3 linked regions of the Saccharomyces cerevisiae S288C genome follow. Changing the gene in region 2 together with the main gene of any one other region gives a genetic interaction. Each region holds a gene or a part of one and is shown on either strand. Other genes may lie near its edges.

The links. A genetic interaction does not mean that the proteins touch.
Region 1: mutations in NUM1 (region 2) and BFA1 together harm fitness more than expected from each alone (negative genetic interaction), as found in Saccharomyces cerevisiae (5 studies listed by BioGRID, with this or other methods).
Region 3: mutations in NUM1 (region 2) and KAR9 impair growth when combined (synthetic growth defect), as found in Saccharomyces cerevisiae (12 studies listed by BioGRID, with this or other methods).

Annotation. Positions count from the first base shown.
Region 1 is NC_001142.9:531,983-537,435, reverse strand, and holds BFA1 (Bfa1p), read right to left. Parts: upstream 3,410-5,453; coding exon 1,685-3,409; downstream 1-1,684. Other genes in the region: KCH1 (Kch1p), read right to left, coding at 1-1,380; UV-damaged DNA-binding protein RAD7, read right to left, coding at 3,677-5,374. UniProt on the Saccharomyces cerevisiae protein: Part of a checkpoint which monitors spindle integrity and prevents premature exit from mitosis. This cell-cycle arrest depends upon inhibition of the G-protein TEM1 by the BFA1/BUB2 complex.
Region 2 is NC_001136.10:753,749-761,096, reverse strand, and holds the start of NUM1 (Num1p), read right to left. Parts: upstream 5,470-7,348; coding exon 1-5,469. Other genes in the region: KGD2 (dihydrolipoyl transsuccinylase), read left to right, coding at 6,031-7,348. UniProt on the Saccharomyces cerevisiae protein: Controls nuclear migration. NUM1 specifically controls the interaction of the bud neck cytoskeleton with the pre-divisional G2 nucleus. Functions in dynein-anchoring.
Region 3 is NC_001148.4:30,913-36,631, reverse strand, and holds KAR9 (Kar9p), read right to left. Parts: upstream 3,620-5,719; coding exon 1,685-3,619; downstream 1-1,684. Other genes in the region: PLC1 (phosphatidylinositol phospholipase C), read right to left, coding at 1-1,396; ATP-binding cassette permease MDL2, read right to left, coding at 3,829-5,719. UniProt on the Saccharomyces cerevisiae protein: Involved in karyogamy. Component of a cortical adaptor complex that orients cytoplasmic microtubules. It may be involved in anchoring cytoplasmic microtubules to the cell cortex.

The DNA of each region.
Region 1 (5,453 bases), on a different chromosome or scaffold from region 2:
AGCTTTTGAATTAATCGAACTTTTTGTCTGTAAAGGAGGTGGTCTAGGTCTACTACTGTTGCTATTAAAATTACGGATGTTGTTTGTTGTATTTGGCATAGAATCTAATGGCCCGTGAAACTCCATAGAAGTTGTAGATTTTAATTGTCCAGCAGAGTGTATTTTGTTGAAAATGTCAGAAGAAGACAAATCCTCATATTTTGGAGTATTTACGCTTCTGCTTTGTATTTTTGCTTTCTTTATATCATTACTTTCATAGCTGTTGATATATGGTGAATCTAGAATCGCAGAGAATCTAGTGGTATATTGTGGATTGCCATTGTCAACGAACGATTCCATTGTTTCCGTTTTCTTCATTGTGGGAATGGGCCCACATACATCCTGACTTTTGTATTCGGGTCTTCTCTCTATTAGCTCAATCATAGAATCATTATTAGAAGCATATGACGTATCATTAAAAGATGTTTCAATTTTATTTTCAACTTCTTTAAAATCGTCAAAAGTCTGAGATTCGAGAAGACCTGTCTTATAAATCGTGTCATCATTTTCCTTTTTCCTTTGTCTTTCAACAAGTTCATCAACATTTTCGCTGACGGTAACACAAATGTACTCACGCAACCCGCTATATTCCTGATCATTGATTATTTTATAATAAACAAAAATCGAGCAAATGACAGCAAGCAGAAACTTGAAGACAAATAATGCCCAGATTATAAAGGAAAATAGCATCAGCGACAATATCACTGCTTCTTCATGATTGGTCTGGCCAATGTTCTTTATTTTGTTGATCAAACCGGTAAATGATTCCAGATCGCCTAGATCCTCGTTTTTATTTACTGTTACGAGAACTGACCACAGCGTAAGACCATTAATAACTTGCCTTGGGGTATCCGTGAAGATTAATCTAATACAATCTTTCAGTTGAAAAAAAGTAAAAAATGTCATTTTCTGTCGAAAACCCTTTCGTTCGATCATATTATAAACACAAAACTTGGAATAATTGAGCACTGAATTTAGGTTTCTGGAAAAATTGTTGACATAAGTCAAAGAGATATTTCCCGTTTTGTAAATCCTCATTCCCGCTATAGCCTCCCATATCAATAGCACAATCGATGCTAAAATACAACCGCTAAACAACCATTTGGATATTTTAAAGGGTAAGTATGGTTTGATGATGTTGTTTGACCAGGAGTTGAATGCCAGCAATTTGATACATGTGTAAATGTCAGAAACAAAAAGGGCGAGTTTTAATCCATTCCACCCAACTACACCTATTATGTAATTTAAAACAGTTTTGAACTTGTGGTTTCGAAATAATTCAATGTTTAAATCGGCGAAAGTCTTAGAATTAATGGAGTACTTCCAATCATGGTTAAACATTTTTGATTTTCTGTTCCTGCTAGTCAAATATTCATGAAATTACCAAAGTGTTTGCTAAACAAACCATAAAGATCTGTTTTAATAATCATCAAGGGCTCTTTTGTTTGAAATGTTAATGTGTCCCTCATGGTCTATTTTCATTTGAAACATCTATTCGAATTTTCTGCAACATTTCTTTTTCTGTCAGACGCGAAATGTCGGCGAAAAGTTGACACGATTCAAGGTTCTATCTAATTTTGGAATGTAAGAGAAATGAATGTACTCAAGATAACGGTAAAGAAACAGTTATAAGAAGGCTAAAGGGCTAATCTTTTGTCGAATTGATTACCATGTTCCTGATTTCATACATATAGGATTTTCTCTTGCTATTGACCGTACTTTCATCCATGATTGTTTCCTCATCAACACTGATAATGGTCTCATCTCGGGGTATAAACCATGAGGCTAACTTTTTACACCACCTGTTCTCCTCGTGGTAAAATTTTTCCAATGCTCTTGAACTCAAATGGAAAGTAGAGCTTATTTCTGGAGTTTCTGTTGTACCGTTAAGTGTCCTCATTGAATGGTATTTACGGAGTCTTGCTTGAGCAGCCGTACTTTGATAAACGCCATCATTGTCATTTGAAACAAATGGCGTATTAACTTGGCTTTTGGAACGCAAAAATGGTGAGGAGCTACGTTTTTTCATACTTTTGCCAACTGGTGGTAAGTTTATCTCAGGAATGCCTGCAAAAGGGTCTGCTTCTTCCTCTGAAACACTAACCCATCTTAAATTTTGTTCATCTAAAATCATGTTCCCGATGACCTTTTGATTTCTCGAAGTGGCTCTTGCATGCTGTAGATCAGAATATTTTTGCTTCTTAGAATCTGCATCTCGTTGTAGCTTGTTTTTTATCAATAAAGCTTTCCTGTTTGCCGTGTCTACATCACTAAATTTGCTTAAGACGTTTTCATTTCCTTCCCACTTCATAGTTTTCGGGTTATATATCATAGAACCTTTCTTCATTGGAGTATTATGATCAATTTGCTGTTTTATTGTTTTGATTTTAGCTGGACCATTGAGTTGTACATTTTGATTAGAACAGTGTCTTACTGATCGTTTTTCTTTAAAAGAGTCCAGTTCCTGCTGGGTATTCCAATCTCGTTGTCGCCTATGAAGACCTGGAGTTAATAATTCGTCATGCTTTACTATATCATATTGTGCAGGTGATATTTTTAATGGCAAAGATGAGGATGACTTCTTTAAGAAACGCGGATGGTCGGCACTTTCTTTATCGTTCGAAGAAATCGTTTCATCAATTGCTTCACCCTCTAATTCTTCAAATCCTGTCAGAAAGTCACCTTCATCATCTGAACTGAATTTCGCCAAAATTGTGTCCTGCGTATCGTTATCAATCTTGTAATTAAACTCTCGTTGATCTTCTCTTTCTCGTTCTTCGTCCTCTTCTTCTTCTCTGATAGCTGGATTAACTAAAGCTAAGTTAGGCATAGATTTCTTAAATCTTACAGAATTACCAGACCTTAAGTTTCTTGAAGTGACGCTATTTGATAGTTTTCTTTTTGGTTTCAATTCCATCATTGATCTAGGTTGCTTTAGCCTTGGTTTATCTTCCAAACTCAGTTTTCTATCAAACTCTTCTGCGAAAATGTCGTTTTTGAAAGGGCCAGTTCGACATCCATTTCTCAAATGAAAATTTGTTTTAATAGCATCGTCAAAATCATCCTTTTTATTTTGGAATTCCTGGAAGTCATTTAGAAATTCATCATCCTGGTCTACCTCCATGTCCTGATCATCGTCTGCTTGCTTATTAGACCAAAACGCGCTGGTACTATTGGAAAATACCGTGCCAGTGTCAGAAGTACCTACCGAGGATGGAGGCGGTATATAAGTTGATGTACTCAATGGTGGCACGTTTTCTTCCAAAGTTAATGTTTCATGGGATTGAAAGCGAGGTAGAGTTGTATTCAGTTCTTCAAAAGAGGTTTCTGGCTCATCTAAACCGTTTAACGTGAGAGGCCTAATTGACATAGCATACAAAACTTTCAACTGCTACAAAAGTTTTCGAACTTTTTTCTTTACGTCAAACTTCTCGTTTTTTTCCTTTTATCTGCGCTGAATACATAAGTTTACACTTTTTTTTTTACTATTATTGTTTGTTTATTATTCGCGAGATGCCATAAAATCCCTTCAATAGAAAATAAAGGCAACATTTGACGATCTGAGTATAATAGGAATAAAAACATTAGTCAATTTTCCGTTTTCTATCTAATACACGTTTTATATGTCTTTATTTTATTATATACTGTCACTCTGTCTCCCTATCAACGTAAGTCCAGGCCTCATTGTGGCCTTTTCAGTAACCAAATTGTCTCCGAAAACATCAATTACAGTTAAATTCGGATTTTGCTCACCCAACATTTGAATCACCGAGTCATCAACACAACGTACAAAACCAAGATCAAGATACGTCAGATTAGGACAGGCTAACGCCACAAATGCCTCCTTAGTTAGCTCTTTTAATGAATTGAGATTTAAGCTTCTCAGACTATCTCTTGCTCCGTTAAGCAATAGCTCTATAATTGCCATATCGCCCAATTGTAGACATCTTCTAAAGCTGCATTCAATCAAATTATTCAGTTCTACTTTGCTGAAAAAGTACGACAGTGAATCTGTAGTGATCTGATCTGATTCTTCCAAGCTCAATACCTCCAATGGACATTTCTCAGGAATGAATGCAGTCAGACCATTGATTATCATTGAATCTGTCAAGTCAATACAGCCATTCAAAACCAATTTACGTAACGTGCGCCCGATTTGACCTAGCAGATTTATGATGATCTCATCGTTAACATCCTCTTCATTGAATGGATATTCAATACAGAGACTGTGAAATTCGTCGTTGACTAGGTACTGCGGTAATAAAGCGTAATTTGATATAGAATCTAGTCTGGATAACCCTAAGGATACCAAGGTAGAACCGCAGTTGATCAATAAATTAGATAATGATTTGTCGGTGAAGCGGTGCGTATTAGAAATGTGGAACTCTTCTAATCTACCTTTCATTATTACAAAGAACTTCTCCCATGTGTCCTCGTTGATCAGAAATGGTCCATCTAAATTCAGTGATTTCAAGTTCGGAAGCTTTTCAGCAATGTAAAGCAATGATTCATGGTTCAACTGCCCACACATTTGTAGGGATAATTCGGTTAGGTGTGGCGAAAAAATGGCTAGCGTTTTGTAACCATCAAATGAAATTTTAGAACAATCGCTGAAAGTTAACCTTTTTAGATCTGTCTTCAAGAAAAGTTGCAGAGTATGATCATTCAGGGCCCTATTCTTCGATAGTGCTTTTGCCAAATTATTCAAATTAGCGGTTGATACGCCACCAAGGACATCTCTCAATTTGTTAAATACCAACTTTGATGATTCATCAGCCTCTTTTTGCCACTTGGATATATTTTCACTAATTTTCGTAATACAAAGACTTTGTAAGCTGGATACTTTGTTGACGCGTCTATCCAATAGGTCAGCTGCTCTTTTACGCTTTCTGCGACGATTTTGGATAATTTTTGCAGTATTTTGCCTTTTTTTAGTCAATGATTCCCGGTCATTAGCCGAACTTAAACTGACTGGCGTGTCAGAAATGTGGCTAGTTTCATATTCTTCTTCATCACTATCAGCAGGGACTAATTTCATCCTGGCATCGTAGGAAACCTGAGCTCTTTCTGTCTCGGTACCACTACCTGTTCCAATTTCATCAATTTCTTCATCTTCAACTACTCGAGATATCTCGGCAGTAAAGCTATCATCCTCCGCTTTACCTTTTTTTTCGTCTGTTGCATCTTCTTGCTTCTTCGACTGTCGCTGGTACCATTTTTGTTTGATATTTTCAGCACTGATCCCTTCTTCTCTTAAAAATTGAGTCAAGGCAGAATTTGGTCCCTTAACTTCATTTTCTCCACCTCTTTTTGGTCGGTTTCTACTGCGATACATTTCTTCCCCTCTCGTGATTTCTAGATAATAGCTTATACAAAGACACTTCGGAGTTACTCTAGGACTATTTCAGTTTTTT
Region 2 (7,348 bases):
ATTTTCCAAAGGTTCTCTTAGAGTTGAGTACTCGTTTTGGTCGAGCAAAACCAAGTTCAAGTGATGACAGGATTCCTCTAGCTCCATCCGAGTGGGATGATTGCATTTTCTTATAGTTTCATCATACTCGATTTGGTCAACAAGTATTTTGTTCATTCCAGCAGCCTTTTCGATTAAAAATGTTAAAGAGGGATATTCTATTTTCTTTTGCAATGCTTCCTTCTCCTCGTTCCTCAACAACACCATTTCATTGCGGGCAGCCTTTTCTTGCATGTAGTCAATATCTGGTGAATCAATCATTTGTTTCATGCGATCCAGCTCAACCTCGCTAACTAATTCATATCCCAGTGCTGATGCTTTTTCTAAAATAAATTCGTAGCCTGGATTTTCAATGGCTTCTTGCTTTTCTTCGTAATCATGTTTACTAATTATGAGCATTTGATATTTTTCACATTTTTCCTTCAGGAAATCAATAGATGGATCACCGAGAATATTTAAGATTTTAGTGTGTTCCTTTCTCATATTATCATATTCTTCAGTAGACAATGGTACTAAACTGAATTTCGAACATAGGTTCAAGACATCATTTTTGGAGGCATTGTCAACAATTGGTTTCTCTAGGTTTGGCAGGTTTTCTTTACGAATTGCGACGTAGCCTAAGGCCTTTAACTCATTTTCAATATCAGATAAAGTTCTTTTTTGTAGTGATGACTTCTCTGCAGAAGCAAGCTGTGGGGCAGGCATTGTAACGAAATCAAGTGCCTTGGTTGAAGGAATAAGTGATTTCTTGTTGCTTGCATTATCTTTCATTGCTTGGTACTCCGTTTTGTCCACTAGCACAAGATCAAGTAATGCGGCATTTTCTTCTATAAATTTCTTGGAGGGATTCTCCAGAGAATTTTTTAGTCTTTCATATTCTTTAGAGTCCAAAGCGTAACACCCAATTTGTTTGCAGAAGTTATCAATCTCTTCTTTAGAAGGTGTAGTGGCTATCCTATTCAAGTCAAGGTATTCATTAGGTTCTATTAATCTATAACCTTTGCTTTTGGCTTTCTCTTCAATAAACTTCAACGTAGGAGAATTGAAATTGCTGACTAGCTCATTGTACGTTGTTGTATCAATTATATGGTAACCTTTCAACTTGGATCTTAGTAACTCAACGTCCGGCTTTTCCATCGTATTTTTCAATGCAATGTACTCATCGTTCGAAACAATCTGGTATTCTAACTTTTGCAATTTTGAAGCCATATCTTCCATAGATGGATTAGCTAAGGTGTTGAAGTCCGAGATCGATATAATTTTTGATTGTATTTGTTCGGCATGTTTGACTAAGTATTCCAGTGATGGTTGTTCTAGTTTCTTTTCCAATTCAGAATATTCCTTGTTGGATACCACAGTATGGCCCAGTTTAGCAGACTTCTCCTTCAAGAATTCCATATCAGGATTCTCCTTGCACTTGACTAGGTCTTCGTATGCACTATCCGATAGCAGATGGTGATTGGTGGCCTTGGCATGTTCAACTAGGTATTCCAGTGATGGTTGTTCTAGTTTCTTTTCCAATTCAGAATATGCCTCGTTGGATACCACAGTGTGGCCTAGTTTGGCAGACTTCTCCTTCAAGAATTCCATATCAGGATTCTCCTTGCACTTGACTAGGTCTTCGTATGCACTATCCGATAGCAGATGGTGATCGGTAGCCTTGGCATGTTCGACTAGGTATGCTAGTGATGGTTGTTCTAGTTTCTTTTCCAATTCAGAATATGCTTCGTTGGATACCACAGTATGGCCTAGTTTAGCAGACTTCTCCTTCAAGAATTCTACATCAGGATTTTCCTTGCACTTGACTAGGTCTTCGTATGCACTATCCGATAGCAGATGGTGATCGGTAGCCTTGGCATGTTCGACTAGGTATGCTAGTGATGGTTGTTCTAGTTTCTTTTCCAATTCAGAATATGCTTCGTTGGATACCACAGTATGGCCTAGTTTAGCAGACTTCTCCTTCAAGAATTCTACATCAGGATTTTCCTTGCACTTGACTAGTTCTTCGTATGCACTATCCGATAGCAGATGGTGATTGGTGGCCTTGGCATGTTCAACTAGGTATTCCAGTGATGGTTGTTCTAGTTTCTTTTCCAATTCAGAATATGCTTCGTTGGATACCACAGTATGGCCTAGTTTAGCAGACTTCTCCTTCAAGAATTCTACATCAGGATTTTCCTTGCACTTGACTAGTTCTTCGTATGCACTATCCGATAGCAGATGGTGATTGGTGGCCTTGGCATGTTCAACTAGGTATTCCAGTGATGGTTGTTCTAGTTTCTTTTCCAATTCAGAATATGCCTCGTTGGATACCACAGTGTGGCCTAGTTTGGCAGACTTCTCCTTCAAGAATTCCATATCAGGATTCTCCTTGCACTTGACTAGGTCTTCGTATGCACTATCCGATAGTAAATGGTGATTGGTGGCCTTGGCATGTTCAACTAGGTATTCCAGTGATGGTTGTTCTAGTTTCTTTTCCAATTCAGAATATGCCTCGTTGGATACCACAGTGTGGCCTAGTTTGGCAGACTTCTCCTTCAAGAATTCCATATCAGGATTCTCCTTGCACTTGACTAGGTCTTCGTATGCACTATCCGATAGCAGATGGTGATCGGTAGCCTTGGCATGTTCGACTAGGTATGCTAGTGATGGTTGTTCTAGTTTCTTTTCCAATTCAGAATATGCTTCGTTGGATACCACAGTATGGCCTAGTTTAGCAGACTTCTCCTTCAAGAATTCTACATCAGAATTTTCCTTGCACTTGACTAGGTCTTCGTATGCACTATCCGATAGCAGATGGTGATCGGTAGCCTTGGCATGTTCGACTAGGTATGCTAGTGATGGTTGTTCTAGTTTCTTTTCCAATTCAGAATATGCCTCGTTGGATACCACAGTGTGGCCTAGTTTGGCAGACTTCTCCTTCAAGAATTCCATATCAGGATTCTCCTTGCACTTGACTAGTTCTTCGTATGCACTATCCGATAGTAAATGGTGATCGGTAGCCTTGGCGTGTTCGACTAGGTATGCTAGTGATGGTTGTTCTACTTCCTTCTCCAATTCTGAGTATTTGCGTTGCAATTCAGAATATTCCTCGCTAGATACCACAGTATGGCCTAGTTTAGCAGACTTCTCCTTCAAGAATTCCACATCAGGATTCTCCTTGCACTTGACTAGGTCTTCGTATGCACTATCCGATAGTAAATGGTGATCGGTAGCCTTGGCGTGTTCAACTAAGTATGCTAGAGATGGTTGTTCTACTTCCTTCTCCAATTCTGAGTATTTGCGTTGCAATTCAGAATATGCCTCGTTGGATACCACAGTATGGCCTAGTTTGGCAGACTTCTCCTTCAAGAATTCCATATCAGGATTCTCCTTGCACTTGACTAGGTCTTCGTATGCACTATCCGATAGTAAATGGTGATTGGTCGCCTTGGCATGTTCAACTAGGTATTCCAGTGATGGTTGTTCTAGTTTCTTTTCCAATTCAGAATATGCCTCGTTGGATACCACAGTGTGGCCTAGTTTGGCAGACTTCTCCTTCAAGAATTCCATATCAGGATTCTCCTTGCACTTGACTAGGTCTTCGTATGCACTATCCGATAGTAAATGGTGATTGGTGGCCTTGGCATGTTCAACTAGGTATTCCAGTGATGGGCTCACGTAGTCTTCTTTTTTGAGTAATAAATAATCTGATGCAGAAGCTTTTTCTCTTAGAAAGTCTATCGTTGGGTTCTTTAAACCTTCTAAGGCTTTAGTATCAATCAGCACTTGGTCGTATTCTTTTGCCTTATCTGACAGGTATTGTTTCGAAGGTGTTTCTATCTTATTAACCATTGAAAAATACAGATCATTACTTAGCCATTTACAGCCGTTTCTCTCCTCCAGCCATTTACAAATATTCGATTGTAAGTCGTTCTTTGCTTCCAGGCATTTTTTCATTTGTTCAATTGATGGATTCTTGACACTCTCAAAAAGGTCATTATAATCTTTGGTAGGTATTATCAGGCAATCAATTTTGGATGTTAAAGGCAGTAAAAAATCAATAGTAGGCTCTTTTAACAAGTTAAACGTACTTTGATCGATGGGTATCTTTTTCAAAGCCTGAAGTTTTTCCTTGAGATAGTTATATGATGGATTTGATAGGGATTCGTTTAGGTTCTCAAACTCCTCTAGAGGAAGAACTTTATAGCCAGAAGCTTCTAAATATTTAATATGAGATTCTAACGAAAACTCTTTTTTGCTGTAATTGTCATCATTTGGTAACGCGATCATATTCAGGTTTTCAGCCACCTCTTTGGTCATTAATTCATCGTCTTTTGGTTTGGATGCACTTTCACTTTTTTGTAGTAAGTTTTTATATGAATCATTCGATAACAATATCATATTGTTTTTTTCTGAGTATTTCTTGACAAGATCTTCAGAAATGTCCTCGACAGAGGGGCCTGTTTCAATCATGTGGTCAATTTCGATCACTATATCAAAAATGTCTTCTTCACTAGTGGTCCCCTCAGAATCAGGATCAGATGTTACTGTAGTATCGGAAGTATGCTGTTTTTGATAATACTTCTTTTGTACTTTTCTTTTTAACGAAGAAATAGATGCTTTGGCGTCATCAAGTTGCTTTTGAATTTTTATTCTTTCAGTTCTATTGCTCTGTAAGGAATTAATTTCACTTGTTAGATCAGAAACACTAATAAGTAATCTGTCGTTTTCATTATTTAAGTCTAAAATCCTTTCCTTTAATTCACTAATCTCTTTATCGTAATGAAGTTTTTGAGAGCTAAGATCATTTTCCATGCCATTTTTTGTTAATGTTAAAATTTCCAAATCTGTTTTCAGAAGTTTCAGGCTTTCTTTTTCATCATTCCAAGATTTTTCAGTCTTTTTCTTCAATTCTTTTAATTGCCTACATTCCATGCTCAAGTTTGTTAATTTAGATTCTAAATCCCAGTTTAAATCTTTAGTTGAATCCAACTCTTTCATGAAGGACTTTTTTTGGTTAGTGAGCTCCTCAATCTTGTCACTTAATGACTCTTTAATTTGCTTGAGAGACTTGATTTGCTCATTTTTAGCTTCATTAGAGGATTGCAATTTCCTACACTCAACCAACAAATTCTCGCTTAGTTCCAAAGTAAAGTTCATATCCTTTGATGAATTCGCCGTGAGTACTCCATTGTGGGAACTACTGCCTGCAAATTCCGGAAGCACGTCTTTTGTCTCTCTTTTACTCAAAATACTTGAAATCGAAAACCGCTTTGTTTTATCTCCTTCATCACCACTGCCGCATTCATCAGCCTTTAAGTTAGCCATCCTTGTTACGCCGTTCGTTGAGACGCTTTCCTGGCTTAATGAATTGTCAATGCTATTTGCATACTGCCCTGCTGAGCTGTCTTTATCGTTATTCTTTTTATGCCTGTTGTTGTGGGACATATTCGAACGTCTCGTGGAAAGCCTTGACCGTTGCGTCTTTACTCGTCTCTATTCAACCCTGTGGTCCTATTAGAACCGATCTTTGTTCCATCGTCATTACTACTTCTTGTCTCTTCTCTCTTGGGGAATAATAAACAAAACAATTCCAGCCACCCGCATCTCCGTCAAAGACGATATTAACAACCCTTTTTTTGCAGCCAATCAAAACTAAGGTCCTGCCCGGAGTGAGCCAATAAAGCGGCCACAAATTACGCAGGAATCTATGGTTCCTAAAGCTTATTCTTATTCTACATTAGCACCATTCTACTACAGGGCTCGGATCCACACTTGGTCTATCAGCAAATGCAAATCCTTTTTCCCTCAACTAGGCCTACTTTTCATATATAATCTCTTTTTGAGCTTCAGGGGAGGAAATATCTAACGTAAAAAAAAGAAAAATCCGAAATAAAAAATTAGGCAGCTATCTTTAACGGTATATATCAGTGAATAGATATATTGTTATAAACTTCACTACCACATTTGTTACAACCAAAGACACAACTTCAGATAATTATTTAAACAATGCTTTCCAGAGCGACGCGTACTGCAGCTGCCAAATCCTTAGTAAAATCTAAAGTGGCTAGAAATGTTATGGCTGCTTCTTTCGTCAAGAGACATGCTTCTACAAGTTTGTTCAAACAAGCTAACAAGGTCGAATCCTTAGGTTCAATATATTTATCCGGCAAGAAAATTTCAGTTGCGGCGAATCCGTTCTCCATAACTAGCAATCGTTTTAAATCTACCTCTATTGAAGTTCCTCCGATGGCAGAGTCCCTGACTGAAGGCTCTTTAAAGGAATATACTAAAAACGTTGGTGATTTTATTAAGGAGGACGAGCTGTTGGCCACTATTGAGACCGATAAAATTGATATTGAGGTCAATTCGCCAGTATCAGGTACTGTTACGAAGCTAAATTTCAAACCAGAGGACACTGTCACTGTTGGTGAGGAGTTAGCTCAGGTCGAGCCTGGTGAAGCACCTGCTGAGGGTTCTGGAGAATCTAAGCCAGAGCCTACCGAACAAGCGGAGCCATCGCAAGGTGTCGCCGCAAGGGAAAACTCAAGTGAGGAAACGGCTTCAAAGAAAGAAGCTGCTCCAAAGAAAGAAGCCGCTCCAAAGAAAGAAGTTACAGAACCAAAAAAGGCTGATCAACCAAAGAAGACCGTCTCTAAGGCGCAGGAACCCCCAGTAGCCTCTAACTCTTTCACACCATTTCCACGTACAGAAACCAGGGTCAAAATGAACCGTATGAGATTGAGGATTGCCGAAAGATTAAAAGAGTCTCAAAACACTGCTGCTTCCTTAACCACATTCAACGAAGTTGACATGTCAGCTTTGATGGAAATGAGGAAACTGTATAAAGATGAGATTATTAAGAAGACCGGTACTAAATTCGGATTCATGGGTCTTTTCTCCAAAGCATGTACCTTGGCCGCCAAGGATATTCCAGCCGTCAATGGTGCCATTGAAGGTGACCAGATTGTTTATCGTGATTACACAGATATTTCTGTTGCTGTGGCCACTCCAAAGGGTTTGGTTACCCCCGTCGTTCGTAATGCAGAGTCATTGAGTGTTTTAGATATTGAGAACGAAATTGTTCGCTTGAGTCATAAAGCGCGTGATGGCAAATTAACCCTAGAAGATATGACGGGTGGTACTTTCACCATATCTAATGGTGGTGTTTTTGGTTCATTATACGGTACTCCTATCATCAATTCACCACAAACAGCCGTCCTAGGCTTGCATGGTGTCAAAGAGAGACCTGTCACTGTTAATGGACAAATTGTCTCAAGACCAATGATGTACTTGGCTTTGACTTATGATCATAGATTGCTAGATG
Region 3 (5,719 bases), on a different chromosome or scaffold from region 2:
GATACGGAGACGTTATAAAAGCGTACTTCTTTATCACGCGTATAACTGTTTTTAAGGGAATAGCTGACGTTAAAAATCCATGGCATACCACTGGCCCATTTTCACCATCCCATATATCAATTTCTACGCACCTACAACCTTGTTGTAGGACTTGAATATATCCCTCCACAGATGGAGTTTCTGCAATTTGTTTCCCCAATAAATAAGTATTATGTGAAGATGCAATAAAATAATGGTTTAATGGCTTTGAATATAACTCCTCTTTAACCTCCACCAAATATGGTTGCTCCTTCAAGAACTTGGTAAAACCATCTTGCCCCATCGTCAGCTGAGTCGGTTCTCTGTACTTAATAAAATATGACCATGCAGTTTGACGATCCACTTGCTCATGCTGCTCTGTAATTAAAAATTGAAAAAAATTTTCAAATGATAAGTGGGAGTGTGGAGGTTTTGTAAATTTAGACCAAATCATATTTACCTCTTTCCTATTCTTTAAGATTTTAATGAACTTTTCAAATTCAAAATAATTTAATAGTCCGTTATGATTGATGTCTGCTAATTGGAAAAACTCTAACAATTGACCAGTTGACACATAAATATGAAATTTATCACATAGTTTCTTCACATCTGCAAAGCTCAATGTGTCCTTTTTCTCATCTTCCTCTTTTTCAGAAACAGTAATTTGCCAATGTATCCTAGCGAATTGCGAATTATCAGGCAAAAGTATGCTTTCCATTAATTCCCTCCTTAACTTCACTAAACCGCAAATGCAGCTTAAGAATGTGTTAAAGTCCAATTCATTCAAAGCAACTACGTGTAACGCTTTCAATTTGTTGGAAACCTTATAAATAATAGCAATCCAAAGTTTACTGTCCGATCTCAATCTTTTCGGATCTACTTCCTCTTGATAAGTACTCGCCGTATCACCGATTCTGATGTCTTTAACGGAGTCTAATTCCAGATACTTCGAACCATCTTTCCATATTATTTGCCCGTTGTTATTGATTAATTTAAATTCATAGAACTTCCTTCTTCTTCTTGTCATCCTAATCATCCTGATTCCTCTTTGCAATACGCGACATAGCGTGCTGAGATCACAGTCTTTTCTTAATTTCTTGTTAACAAGCTCATTTATCCCATGTGAATAAGTAAGAGGCCCCATATGGACTCTAGGCAATTCGGCTGCTCTTCTAAAAATCGACCTTATGCTTCTTCTCACAGTACTTCCATTGTTCGCGCTTTTTTGGTCAGTATTAAAAGAGGATTGAAAAGAACTGTAACTTATAAAATCTAAAGCATCATCCTTTTGTGTTATTTTCCCTTGATCTCTGCATGAGTGTCGTTGTAACTCCTTTGTAAGATTAAACCTTTGGTCATCTATAGCACTTTCAGTCATTCATATACACTGCGTGAATGACCTTACCGTTGTACGTTTATAATTCCCAGTCTTTTATTGTTTTAATGACCTGAGGCTGCTTATGTCGTGATGCTTATACTATTTTTTTTATAAAGCGTCGGGTAAAGGTGTCAAAAACTGTAAAATGAAAACGTGCGGAATCTTCATGGACTATTTAAAATTACACATAATATTACATTATTTAAACTAGTATTACAAATTCTATGAATGGAGAGGGTGAGAGGGAGGATATATAAAAATGTATAAGTATACAGTTTTAGGTTAGTATCAATAAGTTGGGGTTTTATCTAAACGCCCTTCTCTTGGTGAAAGTAACTGTGATAAGGGGGTGGGAGGCCTCAATCGGGTTCTTCTTCTTGTCGAAGGGACCCAAACTTGACTATTAGGTGTCGTGATTTTTGTTGGCGGAGTCTGGAAAACCTTTGCTATCGGTGTGTTTTCTACGGTGACTTTCACCACTTTATCCTTGTATATAGGGATCCTAGAGGGCAAGGACCGGTAATGATTCCATTTATCTTTTTCGATGTCAAGCACAGACTTATTCTTTGCCATCAAAGGAGTTTCTGTAATCTGTACTTTATTTTCATGCCGAGATGTAATGAAGGAGTCTGGTGACTTTTCATTTTCCCCACGAGAAACACGGAGGGTGGTTTCATCGGTTTCGTCATAAGGTAAGGGAGGAACACTACTTAGTATCAGTTTTCCTTTGTTTGGCGACTCCGGATCAAAAAATGGATTAATCGCATTTGATGAATTTGGGCTTGTTGCAGGTTTAATATTCATCTTCTGCAGTAACGCTTTACCAAGCTTTTTACCTTTCAAAGCCACTGTAGTTGAATTTTCCGGTGTTTTATTACTGTCACCTTCATTAATGGCGACTCTCTCCTGGAAATCCTGGGTTATAGTTCCAATAACACTATTCGGTCGCCCAAAGCCTAATGATTTCGGTTTTGGAATCTTCTTCTTGCTAGTAGCTATTTTGTTTGAAGCGGAGGATTTGATTAGAATTTTATCCGCTGTAGGCTTGATATTCAGCCATCTTTGAGCTAATTCATTTGTCTTCGATGCGACGCCAGCGTCCAAAAGTGAGAATTCCAATGCTCTGTAAATAATATTGAATGTCTTAGAAACAGTTTTTGATTTTCTCTCCAATTGCCTCTCGAGCCTTATAGTGATATCTTTGGTATACTTTGTTGTCAGTAATTTCGACTGCAACCTTTCTATCTCATCAAGAATGTATAATAGTTCATGATTTAAATTAATAAAGAGTATATTCCAACGTTTGTCGATTAGTTCGACTTTCAATTCCCTAAACTCTGAATTCATAAATCTATAATCTTTCATTATCAGCTCGTATTTTTTTTGCAAGATTGTTTGCAAAGTAGTTATGTTTGTTATATTCCGGTGCCCAAATTGCACAATTCTTTGAGGTAGGATATCAGTCAAACTTTTTTCAATTGGAGGGATATTTTTTTTTAGGTTCAAGAACTTTCTTGATAAAATATCTTCTGCCGGAGAAAATTTTGGTACCTTTGGCTCAGTTGTCTCCGTATGCGTTCCTAATAACTTGACTAGTTGTTCTAGGGTAAATGATGGAGTATGCCGTATCGGGGACGCGAACCTTTCTTCCTGAATTTCCAGACAATACGATATATTGCTATTAATGATTTTATGTAATGTATCCATATGATCCTTTGAAATTTCGTTAAATTCCAATGACGTATCCAATAATTCCTTCAAGTTAGTAAGCCATGGCTCCAACTGAGTCTTAATTTGTGTAGATTCTTCTATGACGTCAAACATCGGGCTAAATCGATTGTATTTGTCGCTATCCTGATCGTCCTTCGAGAATTCATCCTCTAGTAAATCCAACAAATGAGCAAAACCTTCCTCAATATTATGAACGTCACTAATAAATTGATATAGCATATATTTTTTCAATAATAACCAGTCCATAAACAACAAAATATCGTCTTTTCCCAGTCTTTTCTTGTTGACTAAGTCGGGAATTACCGAGGCAACGTTCTCCAAATCATCATAAAATTGAACTAACAATGTCTCTGATATACTTGTGGTACTCTCATTCAATGAGTTGCAATCGTTTATTGAATGTAATGTATTGTGAATTCTTTCTAAACGTTCACAAAAGTTCTCTTGGAAGTCATCCCCAATGGTCATAGATCTGGGTCCATCATTATCCATGGCAGTGCTACTGAAATCTTTAAGGCTGTTACAGACAAAGATTCGTGCGGCCACATTACACTTTGTTATTGTTTCAATGTTATTTGTTTATGCTACCAAAAGTATCGATTCGGGTAATGAAAATCCTTTTTATTTGGCATTTAACAGTATTATATATAGTATATATTTAAATGTGCGAGATAAGAATGGGTATATGCGATGCGGATGACTCACGGTTGTGGTGTGATCTTAATTGGATTAGCCTCCTTTGCCGCGTCTTTCAGGAGATGTTCGACAGATTTTTCAATATCATCTGAATTATTGTCTTTCGTCTCTGGAGACTGGTTATTGCTGTCGTTATCATGATTATTATCATTATCGTCATTATCGTCCTTTTTCTGGTCATCATGCTCCTTACTCTCATTCAAATCTTCCTTTTCGATGACCTTCTCTATTTGCAGTTGTTGGTCAGATGGCCCAGGAGCCGCTTTCTCATTAAGTAATTGCGATAAAGCACTTGTTGGATTCGCATACAATTCTTTGAATTTGCCCATTTCTACCACTGATCCATCATGGCCAAGGACAATAACATTCTCTGATCTTCTGATCGTACTTAGCCTGTGCGCGATGCTAACAATAGTCATCGATTTTGATTTCATTAGTTGACCAAACGTATAGTTAATGGCTCCTTCACTTTCAACATCTAAAGCTGATGTAGCTTCATCAAGAATCAAAATAGTTGGCTTTTTGATTAGAGCCCTTGCAATCGCAATACGCTGCTTTTGTCCTCCACTTAGTAAGGTGCCGTGAGGACCAATTACCGTATCGTATGTGTTCGGAAATTTTGTGATAAAGTTATGGCAAAAGCACTGCTTTGCTACTGACCTGATTTCTTCCTTTGTTGGGGTATATGTCAACCCATAAGTGATATTATCCCTAATAGTACCTGACATCAGTACCGGCTCTTGCTGAACGATACCAATATGCCTTCTTAGGGATTTACAATTCAATTTAGAGATATCTTGGTTATCTATCGTAATAGTCCCAGTAGTGGGATTATAATATCTTAGCAGTAAGAGTGCAATTGTAGATTTACCACGACCTGAAGGGCCCACAATACAAACACTCGATCCTGGCGCAATTTTAAAATTTAAATTCTTGAATATTTGAACAGAAGGCCTTGTAGGGTAGCTAAATGAAACATCTTTAAATTCGATAACACCACGATCTGGTTTATACTTGTGTCCCACAGTCGGTGAAATGGAAGGTTTCCTATCTGTTAATTCAAACAACCTGGAAGCGGCCCCAGCACCCTGCATAATTTCCGAATAGAAGGTAGAAAGGCCGAATACCGCATTCCCCGTATATTCTGTGTACAGCATAAATGCAGTCAGATCACCAATGGAGAGCTGTGATTGTAAAACAAGATAGGAGCCATACGCAAGGACGGTTAAAAAACTTAGGTCACCTAAGAGACTAGTTGTAGTAAAAAACTTTGCGTTTGTAAATGCCGCAGTTTTTCCCACCTGAAAAATATCTCTAATTGCAACGTTATACCTAGACAATTCATTACCTTCAGCAACAAACGACTGAACCGTCTTGATACCAGAGAGTTGTTCTTCAGCGACTCTAGTCAATTGACCAGTAGCTTCTTGAAGGTCTTTAGAGGTGTTTCTAATTTGCTTCCCGAACACTGAGGCACTAAAAAGAACAGGTGGAGTGAAGAATAGTAACAATATTGATAGTTGAGGTGACAAAGAACACATCATCCCCACGCCAACAACCCCACAAATTAGGGCTTTGACCCCATCCGAGACCTTCTGGGTCATTGATCTTGAAACAACATAAGCATCAGATCCTAAACGAGAAATTAAATCCCCAACTTTATGGTTGTCGAAGAATTCTGCGTCTTGATGAAGCGTTTTTTTAATGACATTTGCCCTTAGGCGTGCAACAACACGCTCACTTAGTATCCTCAATAATATAAATCTACCAAAATTAGCAGCACAACCAATCAGTAAAGCAACAGTAAAAAAGGAAAGAAACTCATATAAAGGCAAAGAAAAAATCGGTATCTTCAAATCAAAAAAATCTGATCCAGATGACGTCTTAAGTGTGTCA